2 linked regions of the Danio rerio genome follow. The protein of the gene in region 2 interacts with the protein of the main gene of each other region in a pairwise test. Links are inferred from orthologs where the notes say so. Each region holds a gene or a part of one and is shown on either strand. Other genes may lie near its edges.

Evidence for each region.
Region 1: the proteins of gps2 (region 2) and sestd1 interact in binary tests that used the Homo sapiens proteins (3 or more experiments, as listed by UniProt). The two-hybrid records come from large-scale screens. The link is inferred for Danio rerio from reciprocal best matches to the Homo sapiens genes GPS2 and SESTD1.

The regions. Positions count from the first base shown.
Region 1 is NC_133184.1:44,888,611-44,892,440, forward strand, and holds part of sestd1 (SEC14 domain and spectrin repeat-containing protein 1), read right to left. Parts: intron 2,015-3,830; exon of another isoform or gene 1,967-2,014; coding exon 1,807-1,966; intron 1,718-1,806; coding exon 1,636-1,717; intron 372-1,635; coding exon 249-371; intron 1-248. UniProt on the Homo sapiens protein: May act as the primary docking protein directing membrane turnover and assembly of the transient receptor potential channels TRPC4 and TRPC5.
Region 2 is NC_133180.1:24,725,729-24,729,558, forward strand, and holds part of gps2 (G protein pathway suppressor 2), read left to right. Parts: intron 1-1,625; coding exon 1,626-1,702; intron 1,703-1,815; coding exon 1,816-1,911; intron 1,912-2,094; coding exon 2,095-2,178; intron 2,179-3,830. UniProt on the Homo sapiens protein: Key regulator of inflammation, lipid metabolism and mitochondrion homeostasis that acts by inhibiting the activity of the ubiquitin-conjugating enzyme UBE2N/Ubc13, thereby inhibiting 'Lys-63'-linked ubiquitination.

The sequences.
Region 1 (3,830 bases), on a different chromosome or scaffold from region 2:
AGATAATATCAAAATAATATTAGTGAAATGAATTTAAAAACGAAATAAATATAAATGTAAACACATTTACAAGTAAATACATAGACTTAATTACGGGCTAAAAGTCTGTGGACAGTGGGGCCTACCCATGCTTCACAAAACAACAAGAATGAATTTATTACATTTTAGTCAGGAATTTATTCAGTCTATTCTGTTTTAATATTACTCTGTGTTTCAATTAACATTCAGTATAATTGAGCATCCAATACCTGTGCAACATCCACAAACTTCTTGTGTTTCTCCAGCAGCACTTTGGTTTCTTGTGAATCATCTCCCAGTCGGATGTGGGTCTTCAACAAAGCATCGAGCAACTCTCCCAACCACTCTACTGCCTATGAAAACACCAAACACCACTTACAGAAACTACAGAGACACCTCAGTGAGTCTGTTCACATTAGGGCTGCAAAAAAACATCTGCATAAATACCCCAATGTAGACATCCACAATAGTCAGAGAATATGCAATGACCAGTTGTGATTCTAGTTGATCAGGTACAATAGTTTGTCATTGCAAAGTTCATCCATAATGTAGTAAACATTTATCACTTGCATAGCATTTTTTAAAAGCACTACTCTTCTACTTCTCAGAAAAACAGAAAAGCACTCTTCATTTCAGTTGCATCTTTGCTCTTTTGCATCGTCCTGTAATTTAATTATTATGTATTATGCAGAATAATCCTAATCAACCTAAAAGTATAAATTCTTTAAAAAAAGGTGTAATGCTGCTTTCACACCAGACGCAGAACTCGCGTCAAGCGCAAGTGATTTACATGTTAAGTTATTGCAAATGCGCGAATAGACATCCTGTGGCGCGATACGTGTGAATGGCATGGCACGAATTACGCAAATTGCGCGAATGGCGTGGTGCGAATAGAGCGATATGCACGAATGGCACGGGGCGAATTGAGCATTTTGCGCGTTTGACACGCTTAACGCGTGAATTTCTCGAGTTCGAAAATCTGAACTTCAGTGGACAGTCACGCCGCGTTAACCAATCAGAAGCTTGCTTTTGTGGGGGCGTGATTGTGACGTAGAACTTGTTGATGGTTTCCCGGGGGAAATCCTCCAGGCGACACCGACAACAAGTCATCAAACTGGGCTTGGCTCAGTCAGAAGCACCGGTTAAAGCCTCCGTGATCCAGGTTCAGTTTCTGGAGGAGTTTATGAGCTCACACAGCTGGATGCACCTCTGAAAGCATGTAGTGGACTAAGACACGGTCCTAAACGTATCGACGGTGTTTTTCAGCCTTCATAAAGTACATGAACAATGTTATTTTGTTCATAAAATCCATGTTAGCCTTTTAGCAACGAAGCTACAGTCACCGGGCAGACAGAAGCCCTGCCCTTCACGCGAATGAAGCAAATTTCACGTGTGAATGAAGCGGGGTTTGACGCGAGAATGAAACGAGTAAATTCAATATCGTGATTTATCCATGCGTTCCGCGTCTGGTGTGAACACAGCATGAGAAATCTATTAAAACTGTTTTTAACAAAAAATATATTATTGCAGAAAAGTGATTTTTTTAAAATAAATTTAAATAAAACTATTTTTCCCGATATAGTGCAGCCCTAGTCCACATGAATGTCATTGTCTGACCTGTGAAGCATCTTCCTCACACTTGAAGAGCTGAACCATCTGCAGCATCTTCAGTCTCCTGACATCAACCATATCCTCACACCTGGAAAACACAGGTTAACATCTCAGCCACTTTGTTTTTTGTTCTTTGAGTAAGCATCATATTCATGATGGTAAAAATGTAATAGGAACCTCTGTTTGCGGAGCTGCATGTCCTCCATGACGCTGTGAATGTGGTCGATATTCTCCTTGTTCTCAACCCCTACTTCCTTGCCGTAGGAAAAAGATGTCTGGTTGGACATCTGGTCAAGCAGCGCTTGGCCTTTTTCTCTCAAGGTCTGCAAGGCACTCTCTGGAAAACAGTGGAAGTATTCAATACACAGAAAGAAAGGAAACTCAGCTAAATGGGATTTAACATTTCCACTGTTTGGGTTCATGCATAAGCAGAGTAGGCTGATGAATAAACAAATCCAATTTAATTATGACTATGTTTTAGGCAACTTATTTGCAGTCAAACCTGGAAACAAAAAGTAATTTTCATTCATTCATTCATTCATTCATTCGTTCATTTTCCTTTGGCTTAGGGTGCTTTCACACCTACACTTTTGTTTCGGAACGTGTCTCGTTTGCCCAGTTAGCGCGGTTCGTTTGTGAACAGGGTAATCGAGCTCTGTTCCGCGCCAAAGTAATCGCCCCGAGATCGCTTGAATGAGGTGGTCTCTGCTCGATTGAAACGAACCCTGGATCGGTTCGATTACAGTGAGAAAGCGATCCGATCCGAGCGCGGTTATATCACAGTGTTTTATGGATATGTAATAGGCTTACGGCCATATGAAGAGAGAATTATGAGTATGGCGGGAAGTTTCGCGAGTCTCCGGATACCCGCAAACGAGTGATGATCTCCCGGTAATCTCGCGTCTCCCTCCCGGTCCTCAAATAGGCATCGTCACGCACCCTTCTCACCCCTCCCCACCCCGTCTCTCCTCAGACACATCGCGCACACACCCTGTCAATCACCACCAAACCACCACCTCTCCTGACAGCTGAGCGGGACGCTGCAAAATAAACCCTGACACTCTGACCAATGTGAGAAGAGTTTACTCACACGTGACTTGTTTTAGCTATTTTGGTCCGATTAGAAACTTTGCAGTTTAAAAGCGAACCGCTCCAAGAGCAAAGAGCAACAATGTAACATTTGTAATCTCTGTTTCGGAACAACTGAATCGATTCACAGGTGTGAAAGCACCCTTAGTCTCTTTATTTATCAGGAGTCGACCACAGCAGAATGAACCATCAACTTATCCAGCATATGTTTTACACAGCGGATGCCCTTCCAGCTGCAACCCAGTACTGGCAAACATCCACATACACTCATTCACACGCATACACTACGGCCAATTTAGTTTACCCAATTCATCTGTAGCGCATGTATATAATCTAAATAAAAACATGCAATGTGTTTGTTTGAGATGCATCACTGCATGTTCATTATTATTCATATTATTGAATAACACGTTTCGTTTCCATCATATAATGAGAAGCATTCCTTTGCCTATCAACTGGAAGAAAAAAAAACTTATTTATACATTAACATGTTTATATTTATATTGTATCATACATTTTTGTTTAATTCCATGTCAGCAACAACCACTATTTTCATCGCAAAAACATTTCATTAATAAATATAATTAAAAACCACAAACAGATACTACTTATAATTTAGATAAGATTTTTAACATCAATATGTGATAAAACAAAAAATAATAATAATCTGGGTGACTATACACAAAGCACTAAAATGCATAAAATGATTTTTTTGTTGATAATAAAAAGACATTTCAATCATTTATAAATTAAAAAAATTATGAACTGAATAAAAAGAAAATATTAAAACAAATGAAGAGTTCAGATGCAAAAAAAATGCCGTCTGAAAACTTCTAAAATGACATTTAACTCAGGATCCTATGTTTGTGTTCAGTTGTTGCACTTTAAATGCAACGTAAAGAACATATTATTTGCCATATAACTGACTTTACTGAACATACACAGGAGCTTGAAAAAAAAATCCATTTTAGGAGAAAATTAAGACAGTATTTAGAGGTTTTTGCATCTGAAATGTACTAATGTACTCTTTGAATAACTAAACACAAAAACAGCAATGTCACCTCAATGTCTTTAAAATAACAAAAGAATACTGCATCTACCTGGAAAAAAAA
Region 2 (3,830 bases):
AGAATTAAAAAAATATATAGCTAGCATTTGTGGGTTGCTTTGAATTGTTAGCCACAACCTGTAAGTGTTTTTATTTGTTAAAATTGATCAATTATATGCATTGTTTCAAGCGTTAAGGGTATGTTACAGCAAGAACGTAAACAAGGATGTAACAACAGGAAATGCTGTTTGGCATTATTAACTATTCAGCTACAAATTCATATTTTTCCATCAAACCGCTGTAAACACCCACAATTTTCAGCAGCGCTGCAGTGTCTTTCTATGCGGTGCTTTCCCTGCGTTCTACATCTGAATATGTGTGAAAGACACTTGTCAGATCTTACTTTAGAGAGCAGGTGTGAGGTTCAGCTGTCTTCTCTGTGTCATTTTCTGACTGATTCAGGCACAAACTGATGGACAGTATTTACACAGCTGAGGCAAAGTGCGTGCTTGTAGAGGTGTGACGCTTTTCCTGTTGACGTGGAGCCGATACACGAATCACAGCACATTATATTAGCTGACCAATCAGAGCCTCTTGAGGGCGGCCCTTTTGGAGGAGCTAGGAAATATGACAGTTGTTTTCATTTTAGCTGAGTAGCTGTATATAATCAAATTAAGATATATGAAAAAGTAACGTGATTTTCTACAAATGAAGCATGAGCACACATTGCTTTGCATTTTTATAAATGCATCCAAGCCTTAAAAATACACTCTGGACCACCTCTTTAATAGAGATATTGGAACTTTAACACAAACTGAATGCTAAACTGAGTGAGTATAGCCTAAAACAACAAACAAAAAGCAGCTCCAAAAATATCCATCATTTACAGCTTTTAAATCCTTTAACAAACTGCAATCAATGTTTCTATTGTTTATGTGGCAGTAATTCTGCAAATGGTGGCATGTGTGCCACAGGTTTATAAACCCTGCGCTACAGAATTCTTTTGAAATCAAATGTTTATTTAAATATTAGTTTGAAGTAAAATGATATTCAATGTTGCAGTTACAGCTTTAGGTACGTTACCTACACTAATGAAATGAAGCGTATGCAGATCACTTTAGAAATGAAAAATATGTCGTAAGACTAAAATAAAATTCTACACTCAGTTAAATTTTTTGACATTAATGTCAACATTTTAGCAGCAAGATTTAAATCATAATCTACAATCTTTATTTAGTTAGCAAGCTTATTGAAAGCAGTAAAACAAAAACTGGACCTACCCCCCAATTTAAAACATCTAAGGTCACTTTGGTTTGTTTTATGATTTTTTTTTTAAGTGTTAACCAGACCCTCCAGGATTTTGTGATTCCAAAATCTCTGCAAACCTAAAATCAAGCAAATGCCAAAGTTTTGAGAGTTTGAAGTTTGAGAATTCCAGCCATGCCAGAGCGTCATCTGCTTAGTCATTCAAAACAAACTAGGTCACGTGAGTTATATCACTCACTAAACTTTTACATATTATGTATATATGCATCCTGTTGTCATAGGAGTAGCCCTCCTCTCTCTCTCTCTCTTACACACACACAATGTTAAATGGGTGTAGGTGGGGAACTCAGTCAGTCTGTATTTTTAGGGGGTAATATTTCCTCTGTCAGTTTTTTGGCAGATAGCTACACAAACTCTTTTGTTTTCCATCTTTTTCTAGGCTACATCCCTAGCGCTGGGATTCCCCTTCAGAAACAGCTGGAACATGCTAACCAGCAGTCCGGCTTCACAGACTCTGTAAGTGGAGATGGTCAGGAAGTGCATTTCTTTCAAACTACGTCAACTCAGTGGAGGGATTCAGCTGTGTTTGTGTAATTAAATTAAAGCATGATTCCCATTGATGTTTTCAGAGTCCCCTGAGGCCCATGCACCCACAGGCTCTTCATGTCAGCGCTGCGAGTTTGCTGTCCACTCCTCCTATTGCTGTGCAGATTCCTCCTGGCAAGGTCAGAGCCACAACCACCGCATGAAATCTGTATTGCCACAGTCTTGATTTTGCAGCATTGGAGATATTAGGCTTTGCTGTACTATAATTGTTTTAATGTAAAGATGATTAAAATGGATGCTTTGTATTGCTTTTGTGGCCTGTTCAACATTTAAAAAAACCTTTGCTCTGTTCTTTTTTATAGTCTGGCATATCTTATACACATTCGCAAAGGCCAGCATCTCCAGGTGCATTTTCCCATGGAACGCCCTCACAGCAAGCACATGCAGTAAGTTTCTTTATACTATATCTTGTATTTATGTATATTTATACACTACTGTTTATAGAATAAGTGAGGTATTTTGATTCAGCAAGGTCACAGCAAATGGTTAAAGAAATAATTTATTACTATTTTAAAAAAAGGTTCCATTTTAAAACTTAAATGTAATGAATAAAACTATTCCTATTCTGTTTAAACAGAATTTTAAGTATGCATTACTCCAGTTCTTGTTGTTTTTTTATGTTTCGATATACATATACCTCTCTTTTATTTACTTTTTTTTTTACTTTGCCCATTGTCTCTACACCTTGAAAATATTACCAACCTCACAAGTTTGAATGATAGTATGTATGATATCTGACTGAGAAAGTCTAAATGTATAGTTTTTTTTTAATGAACCAATAATTGCTGGAAGAATTTAGTATTCCAGTGATGTACAGAGCTGTGCAAAAGTTTTAGGCCACTAGTATTTCCACAAAAAAGGTTTAAAATCTACCTGAAAAACTATGGGCAAATGTTTTAAATGCAAAGTTTTGTCATGCTTTAGTAATTAAGTTAATTGATAAAATGTACTTATGCATTATTTTTTGAAAGCATCCTCATTTTACAGTATTTTCACACACATGTACTGTTTGTGAAAATCTTAGAGCAACTTAGAGATCTTGCCAAAGTTCTTCTGAACTCAGTTTCTCTTAGTTTGTTCTGTTTCTCTGGAAGCCATTTAAGACAGACTGGATAATGATCAGATCAGATCTCTGTGTGGAGCACTGACTCTTAGCAGACTCCTTGTGTAGTCAATATTCTCCATGTGTAAATACAATTCATGAAAACAATAATATTTGGAAATGGAAATTGATTTTTCAAACTGACAAAAATATAGAAACAAATGACTTCTAGTATTTTTACAAAAAAAAAAAAAAAAAAGTTTAACGTCAGTTATTTCTATATTTTTGTCAGTTTGAAAAATCTATTTCCATTTCCAAGTGGAAATAATGCATATACTTGAGACAACCACATTTTAAAGGTGGACGCATTAATATATTTTAGTAAATTAACCAAATTAACATTTGGTATGACAAAACTTTGCATTTAAAACACTTGATACACTTGCCCATAGTTTTTCAGGTAGCTTTATATTTCAAACTGACATGCGACAGAAAAATAAAGAAATAACCAACTTTAAACCTTTTTTTTTTTTTTGGTGAAAATACTAGTGGCCTAACACTTTTGCACAGCACTGTATGTATGTATGTATAAAGAAAGTGCAGTGCTTCCCACACAAACTTTACTTGAGCGGCTGCCCAGGTATAACTAGTGACACATATTTTTTTTACTATTATTATGATCTTTTTATACGTTTTTTTTTTTTTTTTTTTGTATCTGCGCAACATAACCAAACATCTGCGATCAATTAAGTACTGGAAAATCTTCTTCACTTGCGTGAACTGTCAACACTCCCACAGACAGTCTCACGTGCTCTGCAGACCCATAAAGACGCACCTTTTTGGCACTTAAATTCGTCTAAATCTCCTAAAATGTCCAGGATTCATCTTTTGATTTGGCTTTTGAAAACTTGTATGCCTTTTTGCATTAACTTCTAACTTAAGCCTACTTTCGCTTGGCTTGTCGTGAGAGAAACATTAAATAATTTATTTTTAAAA